4 linked regions of the Drosophila melanogaster genome follow. The protein of the gene in region 1 interacts with the protein of each later gene in a pairwise test. Each region holds a gene or a part of one and is shown in the gene's direction. Other genes may lie near its edges. The genes, in order: CG15549, spn-F, js and BomT3.

What was found.
Region 2: the proteins of CG15549 (region 1) and spn-F interact in a two-hybrid assay, tested with the Drosophila melanogaster proteins (one large-scale study listed by BioGRID).
Region 3: the proteins of CG15549 (region 1) and js interact in a two-hybrid assay, tested with the Drosophila melanogaster proteins (one large-scale study listed by BioGRID).
Region 4: the proteins of CG15549 (region 1) and BomT3 interact in a two-hybrid assay, tested with the Drosophila melanogaster proteins (one large-scale study listed by BioGRID).

What each region holds. Positions count from the first base shown.
Region 1 is NT_033777.3:30,933,752-30,939,553, reverse strand, and holds CG15549 (uncharacterized protein), read left to right. Parts: upstream 1-3,046; 5' UTR 3,047-3,095; coding exon 3,096-3,509; 3' UTR 3,510-4,158; downstream 4,159-5,802. Other genes in the region: CG15550 (uncharacterized protein), read left to right, coding at 2,456-2,887.
Region 2 is NT_033777.3:31,251,937-31,257,953, forward strand, and holds spn-F (spn-F), read left to right. Parts: upstream 1-3,190; 5' UTR 3,191-3,306; coding exon 3,307-4,033; intron 4,034-4,101; coding exon 4,102-4,469; coding exon of another isoform or gene 4,470-4,505; 3' UTR 4,506-4,723; downstream 4,724-6,017. Other genes in the region: mRpL32 (mitochondrial ribosomal protein L32), read left to right, coding at 983-1,067, 1,123-1,362, 1,419-1,681; CG1750 (uncharacterized protein), read right to left, coding at 1,723-2,087, 2,143-2,305, 2,363-2,687, 2,743-2,918; CAH6 (carbonic anhydrase 6), read left to right, coding at 5,850-5,916. UniProt on the Drosophila melanogaster protein: Plays a role in oocyte axis determination and microtubule organization during oogenesis. Also required for polarized organization of the bristle. Required, with jvl, for activation of the kinase IKKepsilon in the germ line.
Region 3 is NT_033777.3:16,364,337-16,371,469, reverse strand, and holds the start of js (jiangshi), read left to right. Parts: upstream 1-3,163; 5' UTR 3,164-3,610; intron 3,611-5,795; 5' UTR 5,796-5,866; coding exon 5,867-5,953; intron 5,954-7,133. Other genes in the region: CG10317 (uncharacterized protein), read left to right, coding at 1,139-1,467, 1,526-1,653, 1,794-1,984.
Region 4 is NT_033777.3:22,083,814-22,089,236, reverse strand, and holds BomT3 (bomanin tailed 3), read left to right. Parts: upstream 1-2,839; 5' UTR 2,840-2,913; coding exon 2,914-3,004; intron 3,005-3,371; coding exon 3,372-3,634; 3' UTR 3,635-3,863; downstream 3,864-5,423. Other genes in the region: BomBc3 (bomanin bicipital 3), read right to left, coding at 1,612-1,808, 1,878-1,919, 1,977-2,034.

The sequences.
Region 1 (5,802 bases):
TTACGCTCGTATGAGTAACAACGCAAAGCTCCCAAAAGGGGGCGGAGTGGGAGTGGCCGGCGGAGCAATCCGGGGACAACTCGTAAAAAGTGGATTTTACTGCTTAACTGTGGCACATCAAATGAAACAAATGGAAAACGCACACAACACAGCCACTGGAGTCACGAGCGGAAAATGCGGAAAATGCGGAGGCAGAGGAGATCGCACGAGCTTTCCACATAAATTCGCCCGTCTTTTTTTGCATAAATAAAATAAAATGCAATATTTTCCGCTGCAACTGCAGGCGGCCCAAATCCCTCGCACAAAAGTCAGCAATCAAAACAGATTAAAATATGATTTGACAGCTACGAAAACAAATATAAATGCAGACTGCCATGCAGTCATATGGATATGGATATTCATGTCGCGTTCGCATTCACTTACAAGTTTCAGCCGATTTCAGTTGGCATTTCGATATTGTTTCCATATTTAACTAGAGCCCCCGTCAGGAGGCTCTGACTCCGGCTCCGGATCCGGATCTGGATATATCTTCCTGCGAAGAGGTAAGCCCGCGATTGCGCGATTGCCGCGTGCTGGCATTTTTATCAAAGCGCCGCCGCTGCCTGATGCCTATTAAAAATTTAAATCAATTTTCAATATGGATTGCGCATATCCTGCGATATCTTTGGCTGACACTTTTGTTTTATTATTACAATACCCTCGATGCCAGTTAAGTTCCTATCGTGCTGCTCAGCCGAACTGTCACTGTTTGCAGCTCGTATCTTCGCAACGGATGGCGATAGTCGCGGATTTGGTCGCTTTATGTTTTATGCGCCCAACTCTGTCCGGCTCCAACCCACCTGGTGGCCAAAAGCCAGGTGATTGCAATTATCAGTTAATAAGGACGACTAACTGACCCAAAGCAGATTTGCTGCAATTAGCCAGGCCGCAGGATTCTCGTTCGCAGGAGTGCGTAAGTCGCCAAAGCCCGAAATGCCGGGCAATAATTAAATTATCATTAACGATGTCGGTTTAGCAGGGTCACATGAAACCCAGTTAAGCGGGCACTTTGAGGGGTGTTCTCGAACCCCACCCCCTCACATAGTAACATAGTAGAGGGGAAACTATCCTGTTTTGGGGATCTTTATCAGGGTGACCCAATAATTATGACTTCTCTTCCAGTTGAGATATATCTACACTCGGTTATCTACTTTGAAATAGGTTAGCTTTTTCACTCAGATTTGTACATATTTGATATGAGACAGCTTAGATAATTTAAAATCAAATAATAATCATACAAATTCAAATAGCTTATATATCTAATGACGATAATAGTATTCGCATAATATGGCTTTGAATATGTAACATCCACTCATATTTCAAAAATCCTACGCCGAACCGCAAATCACAGATTTGCGCAGTTTCGACTAACAAATTGGAAAATGTACGAAAAGCAAACCGAAATGCCGCTAAATGGGTTCCGAATGTAATTGTATTTGCATTTGCATTTGGAGCCGAGAGAAGAGCACAACTGTACTTGGGGGCTGTGTGTGCTGTGCAAATCCACGCAAAATTCCCCAAATTCCGAATGGGTTGGGTTCAAATCGAATCGAGAGGGTTGAAGTGTGCTTAAATTCTCATTAGACGCATTAGTGGCGTTGACCAGCTGCCACGCCCACCGCCCGCCGCCGCCTCTTTGCACCTGACCATGCCCGAAATTCAATAATAATAATTGATTGCTTATTACAAACGCACTGCATATGTGTCTCAAATTTATGTGGATATTCTGCTGGTGGTGGGGAAGGGGGGAACGGGTGGAATTTGCTAATATTTACGCATTAGTTTATTTGCCGATGGGAGGTGGTGAACCCCCTGCCAAATCCACCCTGTAAATGCCAAATGACCAATGCACCTGTACGGCCCAAAATCATCATTAAAGTTTAATGTTTTCATTTCGGTTTGTGCACGCAGCAATTTTAATTATTAACTTTATAATTATGCAAAATCACGAATTACATTAGAATCACTTTGTTATGCCGATTTGGTTTACGGTCTCTTTGAGCGGTGAATCGAGTGAATTGCGAGCTGATTTGGCACTTCTAATCAAGACTCGGCTGCCATTCCCCATTCCCATTTGGCCACAATAATTAAGCCCTGTGGAATAATAACCGAAAGCAATAATAACAGAAGTTTAAACTTAACCAACTTTACATACGAATCTCACACTTTTAATATCTAGGGCTAAGTAAGTACGATTGTTTAAAATGAAAGTAATATAATGCAGTATAATATTTATTTTATATCAAAAGTCTTGTTTTATTTTCGAATCATTTGGAACATTTTTTAAAGACTCCCATTGGAATAGTTCTCCTCCCAATGGAATAGTTCTGGGAAAGGCCCGTCGTCTTTGCGATAAGTGGAGCCTATAAAGTCAGCTCCACGATTTCCAAAGCTTCAGTTGAAGAAATTCCGCGCAATGACTTACAAGATCGCCGTAAAGTGGTTCCCTATTTCGCTGGTGCAGGAAGTACTGGCAGCTCAACAGCCAGCGATATCCGAATCGTGGAGCTTTTCACTGGAATCCATACCCACCAAAGTGCTGATCATCTCCAGCGTAGTCCTGATCACTTGTATTTGGATAGGCTGCGCCTACTTCATGGCCAATCGCCATCAGAAGGCGGTCCAGTATCTTCAGAGCCAACTTGACGAACTGTGGCTGCTGCAGGCTAAGCCCTCCGTTTGGCCACATGCTCCCTTCATCCCAAATGCCCGGGAGCAGAATCCGCCGGAGTATATTCCGCCTATGGATCCCCAGGAGCAGGAACAGGAGGCCAACGAGGCGCGGGAGAGGGCAGAAAAAGCCAGGGCATTTTTGGAGACCAGAAACAAACATAAAGATAAAGAGTGAGATAAAACCGATTTTAAGTGGAATTATAAATATTAACTTTACAACCTTGCATATATATTAAAAATGAAATTATACAATACTTAGATAGTTTCCAACTATTTGCTTTAGTTTTATTAAAATACATGTTGCAGTCAGCACTGACTTAGCCTTAAATTTATTTGAGAATCCTCAAAATTCATGCTATTCGACGTGTGGCAAAAAGTGCAGTATGTTGGCCAATCTGTTGACCCTAAGCTGCCTTCTGGCCCAAATTATCCCTCGGATTTGGGGGCAGTATGCGGCGGTGAACTGCTCAGATCCCAGGATCGAACTGACATCCTGTGGCCGCTTCAGTACGAACGGGTGCTGTGCCAAGGGATGTGTGAGGAATGTGCGCGGAAGGTGCGTCCAGGAGGAGTGCACCGCATCCTGGAGCGGCTGGCTTCAAAGGCCAGTGACCATGAGCTGCTACTTCCACTGGTTCCTGCTGATCTTCGCCGGGCTCATCACGGCCCTCATGCTGGGCCTGGTGGCCTGCAACGCGGCCTGCGAAATAAGGCGCTACCTTCGCCAGCGGAGAATCGAGCGATTCAGGCGCTTCAGGGATCTGAGCGGAGTCTCCATTGGATCCACTCAGTGCTAGAGCACGTGTGAGCATGAGGTCCTTGGACTAAGGGGCTGGGAATCAGGAAGGAAGTGCCGAGGGATTTACCATAATCTGCAATACATTAGCGGCAGCTTTGCTCTGGATTCCAATTCAATTCTTTGGGTATCTCCGGCCAAAGCCATGTAAATTACGATTCGCCACCTCGGAAATCCTATTAGTAGTTAAAACCTGATTAGGAAATACTTGCGGCCGAGCCTCGGGCTCACATTTGCTGAAAGCAAATAATAATAAATGGCTCTCACATGCGAGATGCTTTGTGGATACATGCCCTCCAGGGTGACACCTCCTCCGGAGCAAGTCGAAGGTGGCGTGGAATTCAGATGGCTGTGGAGTCGAGTCAAAGGTGCAATAACCCAACCGAGCGGGGCACATAAAACTAAATGGCTGCGGGTTGCGTTGCCAGTCCTCGAAGTCCTTCCCAGACCCCGGACCCCGGTCCCGGATCACCAGCTCGCTCCTCTGCGGATTCAGTAGCTATTGCGGTGGAGATAACAACCATAAGGGTACACCCGAGGGCACTCAGAGAGGAGCGTTGCAAATAGGATTGTGTATATTTTGTCACAGCTTCTTTCTGTTTTAAGTGAATGAGAGACTATTAAAATCGGGAAACTAAATATTTTATTTCAACCTATAGTCTTTAGTCTCTAGTCTATTTCACAGTATTCGCTTTAATATTTAAAGCCCCTCTGCTTCCTAATAGTTCTTCGTTTTTTTTTTTTTTTTTGTTCATTTCCCCTGCTGTTCAGCTTATGTGTGCGAATATAAATGTATATATTTTTAGTATAACTGAAAGTCAGTCAGGCATGCAGCCAAAGCTAAACGCGCTGCCAACCGCGCAGAAAATGAAATGGAAAATATTGGCGGGCGGGGGAGCTGGAAAAGCGGAAAATAAAAAGGAAATAAACGAGCCAAAAAGGAAAAGCTTTGCGAAAAGGTTGCCCATGTGTGTGGAGTGGTGGGTGGTGGGGGGTCGGGCTGGGGGTCCCGGGTAGCAGATTTAGAGGTTGCTTATGTGTGATTTAGTACAGCATGCGCGAATATGGCGGCGATAATTCTTTAAAAATTGGAAATTGTTTTCCAATCGATTTCGCATTTAGCCAAAAAGCACTCAACACAAAGACACAAAGGGCCGCCAACGAGTGTCTTTTATAAACTTGTGTAGTTGTTCGGTTTCGGATTGGCTGGGCCGCACAAGCGGATTGAACCCATACGAGTGTGTATTTATATTTGATAAAAATGTATGAAAAATACGATATTTCGTTATTTTTCACCTGGCTGCAGCTTTGAAAAGGATTTGGCAGCTGAAATCATGGATTTGGATTTGGCTTTGCCATTGGCTTTCCGTGTAGTTTGTTTATTTTCCTGGCTTGTCAAGTGAAAAGCGTTTGAATGAATTTGAGAGAGGGAGAAAAGGAACATTTTGTCTGCTCAAAAATGTAGGGCAATTAAGTATGAACAATAAGATTACAATATCCAAGGAAATGAGGGGTATTTACTTAGATATTTCATTGAAATTCATTTGACACTAACCATCGCTGAATCTCCATTAATTAATATAGGTAATTTCTGCCTGTGCACAGATCAGAATCAAGGCTGGCCAACTGTTTTAACCACATCAACCGCCCATCCTCATTCAGCCAAGTTTATATAAAAGCGATTCTCATTTCTTGATGCCCGTAAGCAACCAAAACATTTGCTCGCATTGTGTGAGTCCTGTACAAAGGATACAATGGGCACAAAAGGTTAGATACACACACATAGCAGGGGGCGTGTTTCGGTTTTTTTGGGGTGGACCCAAGGACCAAGGAGCAAAATGCGGGGAGTGGGCGATTCGTGACATATTTTATTTGCACAATGACAATACGAGTTACTCGACAGGGGCAAACGTTGGCAGTGGCCGGGGCGGGGAGGGGGAAGGACATCCGCAACCCGCCATTACACAAACACACCCTCTTCCGTTTCCTCTGCCCTGCCACCCACACCAGCCCACAATTACAGTTGGCGTTGGAAGGGTGGCGGAAAGTGGGTGGGGTGAACAGAAGCAGTGGCGCACAAAGTAGTAAAATAAGTGCAAAGGATAATGCGAATTGAAATGACAAAACCCGGAATAATCATTGGCTCCACACTCTCGGAGATAACGAATGGGTGGGGTTCTCGAAGTGGTGGAGGAAGAGGCAGTCTCCGAATGGGGAACGCTGATAAGGGGCAAACCTTTTAGCGTTTTGCCGACGGCTTTCGCGCTCAGCTGCTTAAACATTTCATCAGCACC
Region 2 (6,017 bases), 320 kb from region 1:
ATGCGATGGTTTTTTTTTTTGTGGGAAGGGTAGGATGCAGCTTCTTGATCGAGACACAGGCACAGAATTCAACAGGTGAACAGCATTATAGTGGGTTTTGTTTATGTTTTTTGCAGGCTCGCAGGATTTGAAAAACGCGCGATTGTGTGGCGAGTTCGGGGTATCGATGGACTAACGATTTCGAGGCGACGGCGAAGCGCGGTTTGCTTGCGTTTGGCTTCAGCAGCTCCAGCGAAGTGTTTTCGCTTTTTGTGGATTTTTGAATCGATGCGCGTGCGCGCGGTCAGGTGTGGTGGGAATCCCACTGGCCGACTGTGGTGGAAACGATCGCTCACGAAGGTAAGATCGGCTTGAACTTGAACGGGGATTTCGGTGGCTAAGGCAGCCACGCGGTTTTACAGTCACTGGGGGTCGAGGTCTGTTTGGATGACCCCAGGCTACCTATGGGTCACACTATTGGAGGGATATATCTGGACTCAAGCGTTGCTCACAGAGGTCCTATGGCCACTACCGCCACTACCAATTAGTCCCGCCAGTGTCCTCATGTTCCGCAACAACTGGGACGCTCAAAGATCCCGATGAAAACGCGTTTTTCCGCCTGGCAAATAGTTTTTATTTAACTCGCACGCAATTTGCACCTTTTCACTACTTTATTTTGACGTAACAGTGCAGAACAGCTGCTGCGAACAGCTGTTTAGGGTTGCAACGTGCGCGGTGACGCAAGGCAGCCGGCTAAAACGTAGCACTAGAAGTGTGCAACGTAAGGCGACAAAGTCTGCAACCTTAAAACGGTAGTTATTTACGGATGCTGACATTATTTTAAAAGTAGTTACACCATTTTTATTGCTCTTTTTTGAATTAACATTTTTACATCTATTTTGTGCCTTACTTACGTTTTTCTATAAACATATCGATAGCACAGCTGTTTCCTCTTGCGCATCTCTAATCACGTTTACGTAAATTTCAGAAGAGCAGCAACAAGATGTCTAGAAATTTGTTTTTATCAATTACAAACTTTATTAGGAACTTAGAGAGCTTGTTCCTGCCACATGGAGGACACCCTCCTGGTGAGAAGCACCAGCCCAAGATAAAGTTACCCTGACTTACCCACTTTTTACACAGCTTTAGCGTTGGCCGGTTTTCAGCATGATCACAGCCCTAAATCCTCCCAGGAATTCAGTTTGAAGCAGCTTATTGGCGACGGATTGCTGTGGGCTGTTCCGAAGCACAGAAGATCCGTGGAGAAACGCCTGAAGCGGAAGTTCGGATATCCGGAATACAACTGGAAGCCTTTGAGGGAGAAGAGAAACCTCCGCTCCTGTCTGCAATGTGGCCATGACCACGAGATGGGAGTTCTTTGTCGTAAGTAGCCTTAAAAGTATACAAAGAGGTAGCCACCTTTAATGTTGCTCTTCCAGCCTTCTGCTACCAAAAGGTCCTGAAGGAGACTGAGCTCATGCAGTCGAAAATCCAGGAGACACTCGGTCTAGATCCCGTGGACAAGGAAGTAATCGTTCTTTATGAAGGCGAGAAGGCCGAACAGTCCACAGATGATCTGAAAAACAAGCGCATCGTGGAGATGAAGAAGCCTCGTCCCATGTGGTTCACCAAGAATCTGCTCCAAAAATCCACGCAGCAGCTGTCCGAAACCAAGGAAGTCAAGCCCTCCGACTTGGCCTAGATACTAAGCATCCATTGTGCATTAAATCCACACGTTCGTTATCAAATCGATGCTATTTTATTCTCTGTGAAGGATAAGGACCTTGCTTGCTTCAGGAATCCGTTGTTAAAGTCCTGGGCACTCATAGGTTTTCTACCTTCCACGCGTAACTGAAGCACTTCCAACTGACTCTGCTGAGCACATCCGATTATGAGGGATCTCGACTTCCTTAGGTAGCTGATGGCACCAGGTTCTTGGACGGGAACTCTCTTCTCCGGTAATCGCAACTCCAGCAACTGCACTTGCTTGCCCAAAAAGTTGGTTGTAAGGTTTTTGTAGCCATACAAAGCTCGATGACGAGTGTATATTTCAATGGCACTCAGCTCGGACCAGATAATTTCTGTGATTTTACTGGTAATCTTGGGAGCTGAAGGCAAAAATATAGTTTATATAGGTTCTCGAAGTGCTTAGATATGCTTTACCATAGCTGACCCTTGAACTATCTTGGGGTTTGGCTTCCTTAAGTCTTACTGATAGGTTGTTAATAGTATCCACAAGTAACTCGGCTCCTAGCGACGCCAAAGATGCATGCAGATCCGGCATGAAGACATCGGGATTAATAGCCACTTCTCGCTGAGCTAAAATCTAAAGCATAAGTCGTCAATACTACTGCATACAATGGTAAGATAAGAATGAACTTACATCACCGATATCGAACCGGTGAGGTTCGATTTTCATGATGGAAACTCCAGTGCTGGCATCTCCCTTCATGATGGCGTATATGATGGGAGCAGCTCCCCGCCATTTGGGTAACAAACTAGCGTGAACATTGATCATCCCATAAGGAAATCCATTGATGATACTACCAGGAATCAGGTGGCCAAAGGAGACCACCACACCCAGATCAAATTGCGGACACACAGAAGGATCTATGGGCCACTTTTGCAGGGGAAGCTTCTCCTTTTCCGCGTAGGTCCTCACACAGTTGGCGGGACTTTTGAAGGAGGTAACAACTCCCAAACGATCACTAAGAAAAATATTCTTATTAATCCAATTTAACATTATTGTTTAAAACATTTTACCCGCAGTTTTTGTGTAGCGCCTGTAAGCTGGGCAAGGAAAAATTGTCGGTACCGAAAAAGAGAATTTTTGGAGGGTGGTAAGTTCCCTTGCAGCGCTGTGCAATTGGGATTACATTCTGCCACACTTTTCTCTTATATTTGTAAAAATTATTGACTAAACTCTTGCCGCAAAACATCGGAAAATTTGTTGGATAATAATGCAGCGTAAACAAAAACAGCTGTTCGCGATACCAGCTGGTCACTCTACCAAATAACGTAATAGGAATGCTGAGATAGAGTGAAACCTGTTGAACCTATCGTCTTCAACCATGTAAATGGTGGTCTAACTTTATAAGATCAAGAGTCGTTATTTTTGTTTAAGTAATTAAACTTAGCTCAATACATTACTTTACTTTTATTTATCTGTCTTCAGTGACTATAGACTATCGGTATAGTGTATATTATTTTTTTAAGTTCATCGCACGGTCATACTAATGAGAACGCAATAAAAATTTGGAAAATCAAACATCTACAGGAAAACGTATATTTTTGGGATCAAGTGCCAAGGAACTCCAATACTGCAGAATGGAGGCATCTGCTGCCAAAATCACGCCTATGGCCAGTTCCATGTCCGCTTCCGGATCCACAAACTCCCCCTCCAGTGAAAAAATGAACTACGCACTGCAAGTGGCGCTGCAGACGATCAAGGAGCGGTGCATCCAGCTGCAGCGCCGCGTGGCCAGCATGGAGGAGGAGAACCAGCAGCTAAGGGAGGCCTCCAGCAGGTCGGAAGGTGCTCCAAGGGCAAACGAAATCGGGGTCACTGGGGACGTCCTCTCTCTGAAAGCACAGGTCTCTGAGCTGCAGCGCCAAAAGGAGCAGCTGGAGGAGCACATTGGCATGGTATCCAACGAGAACAGACGGCTCTGGTCCCGCCTATCGCAGATCTCCAAGGATCAGCAGCTGAACGCACTGCCCAGCTCAACAGACTCGCGAGCCCAGCAAAACCAGAACCTGGTGCGCTCCAAGACCTTTACGCAGCACTCCCCCAATCCTCACCTTCGCCAAAAGATGCTCTCCGACGGCATTAAGGATCTCAGTCTGGAGGAAATAGCCCTGGATGACTTCGGTGCCAGCAGTGAGGAACTAGGTTACCCCTACAACCTGCAAAAGGTGGAGGAAACCACTAGTGAACCAGATGCCAATGTGGATGCCAAAAGATGTTTGGATGGACTGCAGGAGCTGAGGCGAGAGGCCATGAAGCAGCAGCAGGAGCTCAGATCGGTAATGACTCTGCTAGAAAATCGCATAGGTAAGCAACAAAATGGAATTCATGCTATAAAAAAAATAACTTTTAACGCCTGTTTTATGTGCAAGCAGCACTCAAGCCCTGTCCGGAATGTGCCCAGAAAACCATCAAAAAACCGGAGATGGCCGACAAAAGTCTGGAAACGGACGACAGCCTGACCAGCGAGCTGAAGAACTATGAGAGCCAACACAATGGACACAATGGCACGCCGCCCAGCCAGAGAATTAACATAATACAAGAGAAAATCAAAGCAGATGCAGCCGACGCAATGGAGAAGACCTGCCCTATGTGCGGCAAGCAGTACTCCAGCCAAGTGTCCTTCAATGCGTTCCGCGAGCACGTCGAGATGCACTTCATCGACGATGCACTGGAACTGGAGTCGGAGAACAGCATTGAGCGCCAGTTTGAGTTCGTTTCCCATGCTGTGGGTGACTTCTGACCCAGTAGGCGCATTTATTTCGCCACCGAACTCTGACCTGACCGGAGAAATCCAAGGATTAAGGAGCAGTTTGACTGCGCAGGAGCCGCTTGTTACGTTTCTATTGATAAGACGTTAGGGCGATCATGTATCAAAACTATACAACATTGAACTTTAAGAAAAAATATATATATATTGTATTATAATTGCGGAGAGTGCATGAATATATAGATGTAAGTGACCGAATACGAAATACAGTTTAAATGAAAAGCCTGAAAACATGTTGAGCGCTCTCTTCGGTTGGTTGGAAAGTGAAATCGTGGACCGTGGACAACATAAATATTATATTATTAGCGCTGACAAATATTGTAATATCAAAGATGACGATCGATGTTACCATCGCTTGTGGTCATTATCCGATCTAATTGGCAGCTTTTCTGTGAGTCACACACTTTGGGGGAAGAGTGGAACATTCGACAAAGAAGTTTGGCTTGAGGCCATTATGCTGTAACTGGTCAGAGGATTTCCCTGTTTTTTTGGCTATGACGTAGTCGAAACCCGACTGGCAACGTGTGCCTAATCGGGCTGATCCAGTCATTCAATGCGAATATTTGCCAAAATATTGACCATAAGATTTGCCATTGATAGCAATACAAATGCAAATGCTCAGAGCTAACTTTCTTTTAATGCATTTGGAGTGGGTCGCAGCAGGAATTTAGCTTAAGGAAACATTTTAATTTGCCTATGCTAATAAGTTTGATAAATAAATATTTTTAAGACACAGGCACGTGGCAGCTCCCGTGGATACTTTATTACGTTACTATGAAATGCTCAGATAATGAAACAAATTATCAAATCTGGTGCTTATCTACAAGTCGTATAACTGGTAACCCCACCCATTCACCAACCAATGTGCATAGAATTTGTAAGAGTTCAAGCAACTTTTGTTAGATCTTTTCCGCATTTCCAACTAATACTGGGTTTTCCTAGCTCTCATGGTCTATATATTGCGATCCATCCATTTATCATTTCGAAAACCCAGCGCTGCAATTAGTCTGCCACTTGTTGCTACCGTTTGGGGCTAATCACGCGCCACTTAGGTGTCGAATTCAGATCCGATCCGATTCCATTCCGACTTCCCCCCAGACGCCAAGTCTACGTGGGCACCGTGCCCCTCCAAACTATAAAAGATATCGGGGTGTTTATGGCCCGTTTCAGTTGCTCGCAGTTCGCAGTGGCAACAGCATCATATAGAGGCCAACATATCTCCCGCACATTCGCGCCGTATGAATTATGTAAAATCGAAAACGCCGCGAATTTCAATACAAAGACACACGCGTCCGCGGGAATCCAATATTATATATAGTAATATTAGAACAATCACATCTGCGATCTGCAACAATGCAGCCGAATGCCTTTCACAAGCTTTTGTTACTACTACCGCTCGCCTATCAGCATACATCAAATGGTAATTTCGATCCCAGATCTTAAGATAGATATGTAAATCGAATGGAGTGATAAAAGTGCATTAACTAGCCTTCAATGGCAGGAAGTGATAAATGTGCCTCA
Region 3 (7,133 bases), about 15 Mb from region 1:
TAGTTTTGATAACTTTAATTCGTGTAGATTTATTAGTCAATTTAGTTCAGTGAACAAAAGAATAAAGCTTTTGGAACTTCAATTTAAGTAGAGCCCGTATACTTAATTATAAATTAATAAAAATAATTATGGTTTTTAATTTAACCATAACTCATCATTTGCATGTGTACTTAACATCGGTCCACACAATTCTCTTTGTAGAAAATAACTGATTAGAAATGCCGCGCAGTACATGCTTTTATTAACTACATGTGACAGAAAAACTCATCAATGATTTGATTTTGTTTTGTCAGCATAAAAAATGGTTTGATTTGGCGCCCGTTATTTACAATTTAAATAAGAGCTTTTGCATTTTTGGCCGAAAACCTTGCTCGCGCCATCAGCGCTGATTGCGAGTCTTGAGCTGTGGTCGAGTGTTGTTGGCGCTAAGATTGACCTTAAAATCGGATTTTTTGTTTTTTTTTTTTGGTAGGGATGGTGTGTCAAATGGACCTCCAGCTGTCCGCTGGCAAGCTACCGAGTGATGATACTGCTGGTACGGTAATGCTGCTTCTGTGGCATCGGCAAGTCATTGCTCACCCAATTTCAAAATATTAATAACTCACACACTGATGCACGAAAAAATGGGGAAAATATGAGTAAAAAAGCTTGCATTAAATCCGATCTAAGACAATTCCATTGGCATTCAGCGTGTGGCTCAAATTTCACTAATCACCAAACCTTCCTCAATCACTGCCCCCTCTGTGGGATCAATCATCCGATCGATCGAATTCGGGTTTCGAATGCCGCACTGAAGGTCGCCCTCTATCGATTCGTCTTCGGCAGCTCGAAGATGAATTACATTTACATTTCGTTACTGTAATTGCTAACGAATTGCAGGCAGGAACCCACATGATGTATTACAAATACACACACAACACACGATCAAAATATCTCCCTGAGGTAAAGGTCATATTCAAGTGAAATTGTCTAAATCGAATTTTGAGTCAGTTACTACTTTCCCACATACACGGGAGGTTATCAGAACTTTTCGAACAACTGAAAAATCGGAAGTCTTGAACTCAACTAGAAACTTTCGACGCAGTTGTAGTAATTACTTTTGTTTAGGGAGAGCTAGAAACTTTCAAGCACCAACACCATGAACACCAACACCATCAACCCTCAGGACGACTGTAGTAACATCTCCAACAAGGATGTAGAGATCGATCGGGACCAGGAGCTCCAGACATCATCCGAAATCCAGACACCGGAAACACCGCAGACAGGGCGGCGCAAAAGGATGGACACGCCCATTCGAGTACGTGACATGATCAACCTTTACAACTTTGCCACTCAAAAGAACCAGGAACTGGAGATGGCCAAGTCCCTTTACTTTGGCGCCATGTCAGAGGAAAACCAGAGGACGGATCTTGAGGGCGGTAGTAGCCTTTGCAACATGTCCATGTCGGACGACAAGGAAAAAGAAAAGTAATAGTTTAGGCGCGCCTTTTACACTTCCTCGACTAACCAGTCAATCTAACTACAGTGAGAGTATCCTCCGAGTGAACAAGGAGTCTGCAGTCTTCCAATCGGCCAATACTGAGCTTCCGTCTGATCCGAATACAGTAGAAAGGTCCTATCAAAGCAAAACTACAATTCGACACACTAATAAAGGTGGGTGAACTATAAAATAATTTACATAAAAAATAAGATTAGCCCATACAGAAAATGTATATATAACTTAAACTTATTTACAATTTTTTTAATTACATTTTTCTATTATTTTCGGAAAATTAATAATGTTTCCTTCAAAGGCGTGCGTATAATCATCGACATATTTTTTGATAAAAAAGATAGCGAGATAGACATAGTGGGCAGCCGCGTGGAGACGGACATCCCCGAGAGCCGCATCCTGTCCGATTTCCAGCAGCATTCGCTGGACATGAAGAACCAGGAGCTAAAGCCGGGGATCCAGGATGGATCGAGTACCCCCAAGTCCGCGTAGGCTAGTCCCAGGTATCCAGGAGATAACTAACTAAATTCCAGGTTACAAGGTCTACAAAATGTTTATATGTATATGTGTTATTTTCTTTATTTTTGAAAACAGTACAAAACAAACCAAAAAAAAAGGAAGAAAACCATCGATTGACTCCCGACACTCTCGACTTTAGCTTCCTCTCAGTTCCATCACGAAAATGAAAATGGCTAAAGTGGTAAAGGTGAAGGGGAAAGGAGGGGGAATGGATGGGTGAAACCCAACGCCCATCGAAAATGAAATCCAGCAACTGAATGGGGCAACACACGACTGCGATGAAAACCTCAGTGCCCCAAACCGCCTTGTCTGTTTTTCTGTCTTTTCCGCGACAAAAGGGCTTTGAGGAGTAAATAAACGATTTGAATCGAAAAACGAAGATGAAAATGGAAAATGGAAATCTTCGCTTACAAAACCCAGCCGCCAGAAATCTGACAACGATGCCGCCAAAAAAGCCAGCCGAATCGAGCAAATCTGAGATGGGGAAAATGATTTCACAATTTGGCGCCCAATCTGGTGCAGATCTCTTTTAGCCGTGCTCGATTGCTCTATTTAGCCCACTTCTTTTGTTGCCCCCTTACCCATCTGCCAAAGTGGCTTTAACGTAAACGTTCCAATAAATTAGACAAATAAACACCGGTGGGTGAAGGGTTGCCCTAAACGGTGGCATTGCAAATGCTAATAACGTGCAATGAAAATGAAAACGTAGCAGTTAACGGTAAATTGAAACTGAGAATCTAGCTGAAAAGCTGAAAAACTGAAAATGAAGCTGCAATGCAAACGCTTCGCTGGCTGAGGGGCTCAAAAAACCCGATTGAACTTCGTTAACTGGCCGAGAAGTTTTGGCACAGTGGCATAAAATGAACCAACTTATACAGCCTCATAAATAATGTGCTTTAATATGGTTTAATACCTAAAAGCGGCTGCTAAATTCCAAACTTACATCATTTGGCAAGATTATTTGCCCGCATCTGAAAGTATTTGCGTAGATTTCTTTACAAATGAACAGAATTTCCTCTCACGCATGTGGGCGTCCGGATCGCCCACTGTGCGCCGATGACGAAGCTCCGCTTGGCGCTTCTCCAGCAGAGACCTGGTCTGTAGCGGGCGGCCTAATGGGAATCTTAAACCGAGCTGGGTGCACTCGGAGTCTTCAGTTTAAGACGCGACTTCGAACGAAGCGGTTGTGTTTTATCGGGCGAATTGCGAACCGTCAGATACAAGATACAAACTTGGATAAGTTTTATAGACGCGCTCCATTCGAAAAGGACTGTGAAATGATGTGCTAAAGTGTTGATGGCATGTCTATATAGTATCAAAGCAAATAATTTATGCGAACCAATTCGGTTGCTGGCGTTGCGCGATTGCTCTTGACTTTGTTTTCAAGCCAATGCAATTGCATTAGCTATCTGAGCTTGATGCACTCCGAGTGCTGCTGACATTTGATCTTTGCAAAGATCACATCGCACTGAATCACCAACTCGCATCGGATGTGTGAAAAGGTCCGCGACCATATGGAATATATTTTAGCACACCACCTACGGCGACAATTAGTTTGTACAATTTAAGATACTCCGTCAACTGAAGACGCGGGCGAAGGTGAGCCCACCGCCGATCGGTTGGAGTCGACATCGGATTCGACATCGGCATCTCGAGCCCAACATCTAAGATCTTGTGCTTGCATCTTAATAACTTCCTCTTCTCCATCCAGTCGGGGGGTCCAATCGAAAACAATTAGAAAAATGCCAACTATGGCTGGGCGAAATATCTTCAGTCTGGCCCTGCCGTAATCGTAATCAACCTGTAATGCCAACTAATTGGCATAATTGTTGCTGCATCTCGGCTATTATTTGCCGTTTGAGCATCTTCGAGTTAGATTCGCAATGCTCTTTCAATGGAAATGGCTGGCAAAAATGTCAAATAGGCTTCGCCTTACTGGCCACAAGGCAACTTAGAAAAAATTGAAGAAAAAACCGCGAAAAAAGCAACCAAGAAATAAAACTGCAACCAGCATCACGAGTTCAACCCGAGGAGGATAAAGCGGTAAATATTTTTCGTTGTCAAAAAGGTCAAGACAGGGAAAAACCGCCAAACTAGATGCCAGTTCAGTATTGTTCGCTTTTGGTTTTTAGCCATTTTCCTGCTGCTACTGCTGCTGCCACACGCACTTGGCTCGAATGACTGCTGGCCACAACTTGCCACAAATGTTGCGGTTAGCATTGAGCCAGATGATCTCGTTAGCTGAAAAGTATGAGATTTTATTGGGCAATTGAACTTTGCAGCTCGGCGGCGATATGATGTTCCTCAGACCCGCTAACCTAATAAATTATACGACGACTGTTATGGGCAAATTATGGCTAGGCATTTTATGCCTCTAAAAAAAAAAAAACATTTCAATTACCCGTAAACTTAATTGCAAAAGTACACTTAAATGTTAGTTTAAATGGCGGAGCGAATCTATTAATGTTAATACCTTATTTATTGATGCATTTAAATCGCGAAATATATTGTCCATTATTATTTTATTACGAAAGCGCTATATCTTTTTCGTTAACTTACAAACTATATAATTCCTTTGAAAAAAAAGTAATCATGGAGAAGTCATTTATGCCAATTTTCCTCTAATCAGCTAAGTAGGTTTTTATTTAAAACCACATTTTTTTGTAACGTTAACAATGTAGGTGCATGAAAAGTAAAACAAAAAGAAGTCATAAATATGTGTAAGCCTGACATAAAAAGTAAAGTTTATTGCCTAATGTTTTGATCGTTATACCGCATTAGCGCAACATAAAAATCCAATTCTTTTTATAACCAATTCCTTCCTCAGAGTCTTTTAAGTTGATTAAATTCAAGTTCATGCTTCTACATAATCTCTTCGACATTATCAGTATTTCTTATGTTTTACTTGAGTCAAAAACGAGTGATGACGCGGCTTATAAATATAAACAACATTAAATCAAAGACTTGGGAATCTTTGAATTTGTCTACATAGCAAGACGAGCCTCGAAGTGAGACTCAAATTAGTTCTAGGCATAAAACTCTTTAACCATACTTGGAACAACGTTATGAAACTACCGGAGACGTTCTTGACCCAAGCGGAAATTCATAAAGCTAAGAGCCTTTACCGGACAAGTCAATTTCGACCAATTTGGTTACTATAAACGGTCATAAAGTGCAATTTCCATTTTGGAGCTTTGTTTGCGACTGCGATTGACAGTTTTATCGGTGTGACTACATATTTTTCTTTTTTTTTTGGCGAGGAGCGGAGTGGCAAGTGGCAAGGTCGCACAATTGAATTGTAGGTGGAGGTCGCGACAGAAACGGGGGAAGAGCCAGCGACAGCGTTGCAAATTCTGTCAGTCAATAAAGCGGCACCAACTGCAGAAGTTAATGTTTTTTAAATTACACTTACAATTCATTACGAAAGCGTTGAATCGAACAAACATCTTGGAGGCGAAGAAAATTTTCAACTGGTCTCTTCGCAGTGACAAAAAATAAAAAAACCAACCAGCAGACACATTGTTATCACCCATAGGTGATTACCTATGAGGAGATATTTTTGGGAAAGTTATTACTAAAGTAAACAGAGCCCGGTTACGCAAAAGATTGGCAACAAAAGACACATTACTATTTCATATGGCTATGGGTGGATGGCGGAAAGGAATGGGTATTAAGATGCGAGCCGCTATTGTGTAAGGCAATTAGCGCCAACTTATATGCCCTGCGTGCACTTTCCCATCAATTGTGATCAGCGACCATTCAATAACATATTAATAACTTTCAGTTTTTTAGCTCAACATCGTGAGTTCCCTCCCCTCCCAACAATCCCCAGTGCCACAGAGAACAATCGTCGAAATGTTGGCACAAACGCAAATTATCCCAACGCCTTGGCGACTTTTGACCCTGGCTTTATTCTGCTCAGCTTTATTTTTGGCCAGTGAGGTAAGTCCGACTTATACCCTTAGCCGGGCTCAATCGGGGAATTCGAAAGATATGCCAGCGGAGATTCCGATGGCGAATGCGATGTGCACGTGAGAGAGCATTGAAATGCAAATTGCGGAATTGTATAAATATTTAAACGCCGTATTTGTTCAGCGTGGAAGGTGCTTATTATCTTTCTTCCGAAGATTGCAATAATTAATAGCTAAAATATCGTAAACATATCGTACAATCAATGCTAATGAAGCTTCCCCTTAGTGATCATTCTGAAGTGTATTTAGCGAAATTTAATATACAGTAAATTCTCACCTGCCCCTCAACAATAAAACTATCCACAGAAATGTTAATCCGTTAAGACTGTGACTATCATTATCATTCAAAGCGTGACCCTTCAATTGAGTCTCAGAAGTGTTAGCCAAAAGTGGTTGGGAAATTCTTTCCATTAGTATTGCCTGCCCATTAAAACCCTTTACCAATTTCAAAATATTGAATATCAACCGAACTTGGTTGGTAAATCAAATTGGTTCTTAAATCAAATTCTAATTACGTTTTTTTAATAGATACCACATTTTTGTATACAATGTATATGTATGTATCTTAATAAATTGCAAGTTAAAAGGCAAGTCAAGAAAACTTGCTTTCTGTTTTCCAGTTTTAATTAAAATATTTTGACCGATTCGTTGATGAGCTTACATTAATCTATTTCAACAAGAACTCCTATTCATAAATGAAATAGAAAATGTACCCCAACAATCATTTGAAATTTATCTTAAAGATTAAAATTAAAATTAATCATAAAGAAAGGAATTATGACTATAATCTAAAATCAAGGTATGCAAATTTATGTATATTAACTTGTTAATCTGATTACAATGTGTAAATCTTATAGAATCGATTGATGACAAATTAATTACACGACTTGAAAAGTATCTTTACATACGTATATGCTTAAGTGCGAAGCAATGGGGTGCCGCTGCCATGGAATACATTGTACAAATTACCATAAAATACTGTCAATTAATTTGTTTAATTTTTTATCTGTGACACTGTCATTCTGGGTAGTAATAATATTATTCTTAAGAAGTTAACGCTTACCAGATTTTAATTTGAGGGCTTTCATTCTGCAACACAAGATCCCCAGTGGAGGCACCACCGACAAATGTTCGTTGTGTTTGCCACCGAA
Region 4 (5,423 bases), 8.9 Mb from region 1:
ACTGCGGGGGCGAAACAGAAAAAAGTTAAAATTTATTTGAAAAGCGTGAAGGAGATGGCCACTGCTGCCACAAGTCCGATCGGCTCACCTTTCACCTGCCCCAGAAATTCCCCTCTAATGCCGCACAAATTAGGCACAAGAGAACAGAAATTGACCTGAAATCAAATACAAGTCAACATAAATTCAATTTCGAACATTCCCCAGCTCAAGGTCCTTAAGTTGCTAGGCAGATAAACCACCCTGTTCTGGACTAGGACTGAGTTCCTCAGCTTCATGGGGCTTCTAAAGTTGCGTGTAAACAATTTGTGACCCAAAAAGATAGGAAACGACACATTTCTGCCAATAAAGTGTATTAAAAGTAAATCAGAGAAAGTGTATCGAAACCCTTTACGATTGGTATGGTTATGCCACCCAAATGTTCATTGAATTTTAAGCCAGTCGAGCGTTTTTCTGAATTTAGCACATCCGCAAGGGCAGTCCATTGATTTCAATGCATTGTATTTTTTTTTAATTGCAAATAAAGCTTAGGTTTTTATTCTTGGATGTCCGGGAATCAATACTATTCTCTTAAGTTATACGCTTAAATCAAAATTGTATGATTGTTAAGTAATCCTTTTACAATTTTAATTGTTTTCGCATGCTAAGCCTGAATGAAACTTTTCCCTTCTTATTCTGTATATAAAAACACAGCATCAGTTTTATTCGAAACTTCTGCACAAAATATTCTTGGGAAGTGTGTGTGTGTGTGTGTGTGTGTGTATGCACTAAGTGTTTACTGTTTGTCGAGTAGTTAGTTTCAAAGCAAATATTTGAGAGGCTTCTGTTTGCCGTTCCTGCAGTAGCATTACGTATACGCCACGTGGCACGCGCAACCTTAAGCACCCTTACATCAGGCCAGCGTTTTCATTGACAACACATCCACTGGCGTAAATTGCACGGTTGGTTACTCGCATTTGATTATCGATGCTGTGCAATACTCTGGAGACAGCGACGTCAGCTCCCAGCCCAGTTTATGTGGCAACTAGCTGAAGTTCAAACAATCGATGCCATTGGCAGCACGAATTTCTCTATTTTTCCGTCACAAAATCCGTGGGTCTTCCCTTATTTGCAGACTGTTTTGAAACCAAGGCTTTTGAAAATGTAACGCTTTTGTATCACTTATTTTTGAGAAGGATGAGAGAAGCCAATGTTCACAAACAGACAGCTCGCAGTGCACGCAATGAGGTACTGGAAATCGTTAAAAAAAATTCTTATTTTAAATGTGAAAAATTTGATTTTCAGGACTGAATATTTCGACCAAAAGCAATTATAACATTCTTCACGCTTTTTTCGCAGCATAAAATAACTCGGATGTTTCATGTTTCTCCACGTGTACTTCGTGGTAACAAAAACTGAATATAAAACGCTCATTTTTCCATTTTTTGCCTCCATCAGATGATGCCCTCTGCACTCGAAACCATCACATTCATCGAATTTGCAGAGAGACTGGGTTGAACGATTGTCAATGCTTTTAGCTAAATGATGTTGTACATAGCCAAGTGTAAGTATGAAATGGATTGATCGATATGTGCGCAATTTTAATTCAATATTCAGACTTTATTGTTTAAGCCTTTAATAGGGATCCACGTTGCAGTGCTGACATCTGCCATTGACGATGGTATTACCACCCCTCCGGTAAATGGTGCCACCTCCACCGCCACTACCGTCATTTCCACGGGAAATGACCACATTACCATCGCCAGGGGATGAGGAGAAGCTGCGGTACTGCTGGCCATCCAGGTAGACGGGTTCACCATTCGGATTGGGACCTTTTCGAGTGCATATTATTATTCATTAAGTTGTCCAATTGCCTAGCTGGCAAAACAATCGCAACTTACAAGTCAGACAGACGCCATTCACCACCACTGTGCTGGGATGAGCTGGAAATAATTTCAGTGTGTATCAATTAGCGTCAGCAGCAATCCCGTCCAGCTTACCGCCGATCAGAGTCGGAATTAAAGCCAACGGGAGCAGCACACACGTCAGGTACTTCATATTAAAGCCGATAGATAGATGACCGTATCGACTCTCACGCTACTTATATAGTCCGGCACTTGATTCGATCCGAATCAAAATCGATTTGCATAAGCCTAAGCGTTTGGAGCTTTCGATTTGTATTTGAACAATATATTTAAATTAATTTCACACTAGAACACTATCAAATCGCAATTCGATGGGGTTTTCCGCACACGGTTTTGTGGCATCAGGTCGACGTAGTTGATTTCCTTGAACTTCTTCAAAGAAACTTATGACAGTCACGCCCCGAAAAGTCGGTTTACAATTATTCCCAGACGTAAACATGAATGGCAAGCGATTCCAGAGAATCGCACACCATTAAATTTTATCCATACATCTAAGGAAAACTGGTTACAGAACCGAAAGTCGTGACTCGTGAGTGAAATGTAGAAGCTTTAGTTCTAAAGCTAACAATTTATATTTAAATAATAAGATACTTAATACAATGAAAAAGCAAAAAATATATTTGAAAACAAATACATTTCATTAAAAATAAATCTTTGCAACTTTGTAGAAATGAAAAGTGTCTGACTTATTATAGATTTTACAGATTTTGTGTATTTGTTATGTTAAAAAGGTAACGTAGAGTATCTTGAATGCAATACGACTGACCAACTGATGCGCTACAGATTGTTTTTGAAACCCATCCGCGGGCAATTCCCTGAGATTAATACTTAATACATACGTAGTGGTTTGTTTGCACAGCAATAGTTCTTTGCAGCGATAAGGTCTGTTTGGGTTTGAATTCGAATTCAAATTCAGTATCGGAATCGGAATCGATGAGTGCATCGTATATAAGCTGCTGTTGCGGTTCGTACCTGGTCCAGACCAGTTCGACGTTCTAATAGACCAGCCACAATGAGAACCTTGACGGCATTTGCGATTATCGCTTTTTTTGCACTGGCTCTAACGGAGGCGGCTGTTTACATCGGTGGCGGTTGCTACGACTGTAAGTCAATGCCTATTAATTTGGGCCATTTATTCAAAAATTGTTCAACGATTTTCGTCGCTGCCACATCAGGCATAGTTTAAAAGGAAATTTTGTGTTTTCATTAGCGAAAGTTTGAATGAACAATCAATTTGTTATTATATTATGGTATTTCTTGGCAACGAAAGTCATTAAGTGATTATTAACGATACTCTAAACATTTGTTATTGGTTAAGTTTATGAATAATATAATTCCGAACACTTAGCTTTAAGCTTTTAATTTCTATAGCGCATAGTACATTTGCTGGCTTGCGTAAAAAATGCAGTAGCTAGCGCGCAATTAAGTAACTACTACTCCTCAAGAAACTGATTTAAATATCACTATTAGGTAATCCACCCGGAGGCCAAGGACCTGGAGTCTACACAGGTGGCAACGGAGGACGAGGAGGAGGAGGTGGATACAACGCAGGCGGAGGCGGTGGAGGATACTACAACGGCGGCGGAGGTGGAGGAGGTGGCCGTCGTCCAGTATATTCGGGCAACTTTGGACCCGGCTATGGTAACGGCGGAGGAGGAGGTGGAGGAGGCTACGGAGGCGGCGGTGGAGGTGGCTACGATGATGGCGGTCTTACGCAGATTATAAGCGGCTGAGATTATAATCTCGAAGCTTTGCTAGCGCTAAGCGCGAAGAGCAAGCATCGTCTGAAACTTAGATTATATAGACTTAAATAAAAAAAATATATATTTTATCAGCGGTGACTACTTTTATATACTTACAGAATGAGCTTTTGTTAGGTTTTGTTAAAGGTTAAAAACAAGTCCCTCTGTTAAAGTAAAACTAGTGAATAAACTTATCAAATACTCAGCTAACGCTACTAATAAATGGCATGCCACCTATAGCTTCTAAAAATAATATCCTTAATTCCTGTGCATTTTATAATTGGTATTCATTGTAATTCAGTTCAGACACGTATAAATGAGTAGCAACTGTTCAAGAGTGATGATTAATATACCCTTAAAGCCATAAAACCGACTGTGCTGTTCGGTTGAAGGAGTCAAAGTCCTGCAAAGGAAATAATTCATAAGCTCTTCAAAGTTTCAGCCATCCTGCTTGTCAGTCTTAATTAAAGGACTTGCCCTGGCTAAATATGCAAGGGCATCGAATTTCCAAAAAGTTGAACCAAAAGAACCGCTCGGTGAATCCACAAGCACTTAATTGATACAATTACAAGTTCGATTTTTGTTCGTTCGGCGAGCTTTTGGTGAGCTAAGCTGAAGCAAATGAACCGGAATCAAATTAAGGGTCATTAAGTATAATTATCGGTATCATAGCATGCATTTTGTTAAACAGTTTTCAAGGACTTCCTTTCTTTAAGTTGGTTCTTTTGCATTTAAGAAAAGGTTGCGTGCACGCTTAAAAATAGTACATTTCGTGGATATATGTTTAGTTAAGACTCTTGCAGCACATGTATAATTACACATTCGAAACGAAAATAACCATTTCAAAGTAGATACGCTTAAAGATTACTTTATTTATAGCCTGTGCAATCAGTAGTTTTAGAATGAGTAGTTTTAGTAGTAGTAGTAGTTTTAGAAGTAGAATGCGCACATCGAAAATCTTCAGTGTCAGTAAAGTAGCTTCGGGTTTTCAGTGGAAGAAGTAGCACATTGGGCTTAGATTAATTTTCTAAGAAAATCATGCTTTTATTAAATATATACCCATTAAACATTGATATTAGTATATATTCATGGGAGAAATAGTAATTTGGTAATAATTTATTTGCTGAATACACATGTATAAAAATGTTCATTCTTTTTCCAATGAATACATTTCCTTTCGTTTAGGCTCAAAGGAAGTGTTGCTCAGGATTACCTCCTTGTCGATGTCAGGGCTCGCAGTGTGGGTTCTCTCCAGGATGTGGGCAATCTAAAGATGTTGCCCAAAGCATTAAGCCTCCTGAAAAATTAATATTTGCAGTGCACTTCATAAAAACTGTTTTTTTTTCCCCCCGCTAATATGAAAAGATTTCGCCTTGCCAAGCACTTTTTCAATTAGACACTTACAAAGAAGCACCACAAGTTAGGTGCAAAATTCGCTGCTGCATGCAACAGCAATTGAGATTCGCAGTGACGGGTCCTTGGGGCAGGTAATGGTTGCAGAGCCATTAGCGTTCAATTTCCATGCTGCAAGGTAAAAACTAAGCGAGCTGCAAAATTAACCTGAAACAGCCACCCACTTTCTATGCGAACACGAGCCGCTCTTAGAACGGCGAACTTTATGTTCTATATGGCAAAGTTTGTTGCAATACGATGATGCATAGCGGGCGAAAATTAAAAATGGCATTAAATATATAACAAACTTTTAGGCTGTTGGTCTGATTCTCTAGTTATTAGTTTTCTATGATCTAAGTAAATTATGATTTATTACGCGTCAGTATTA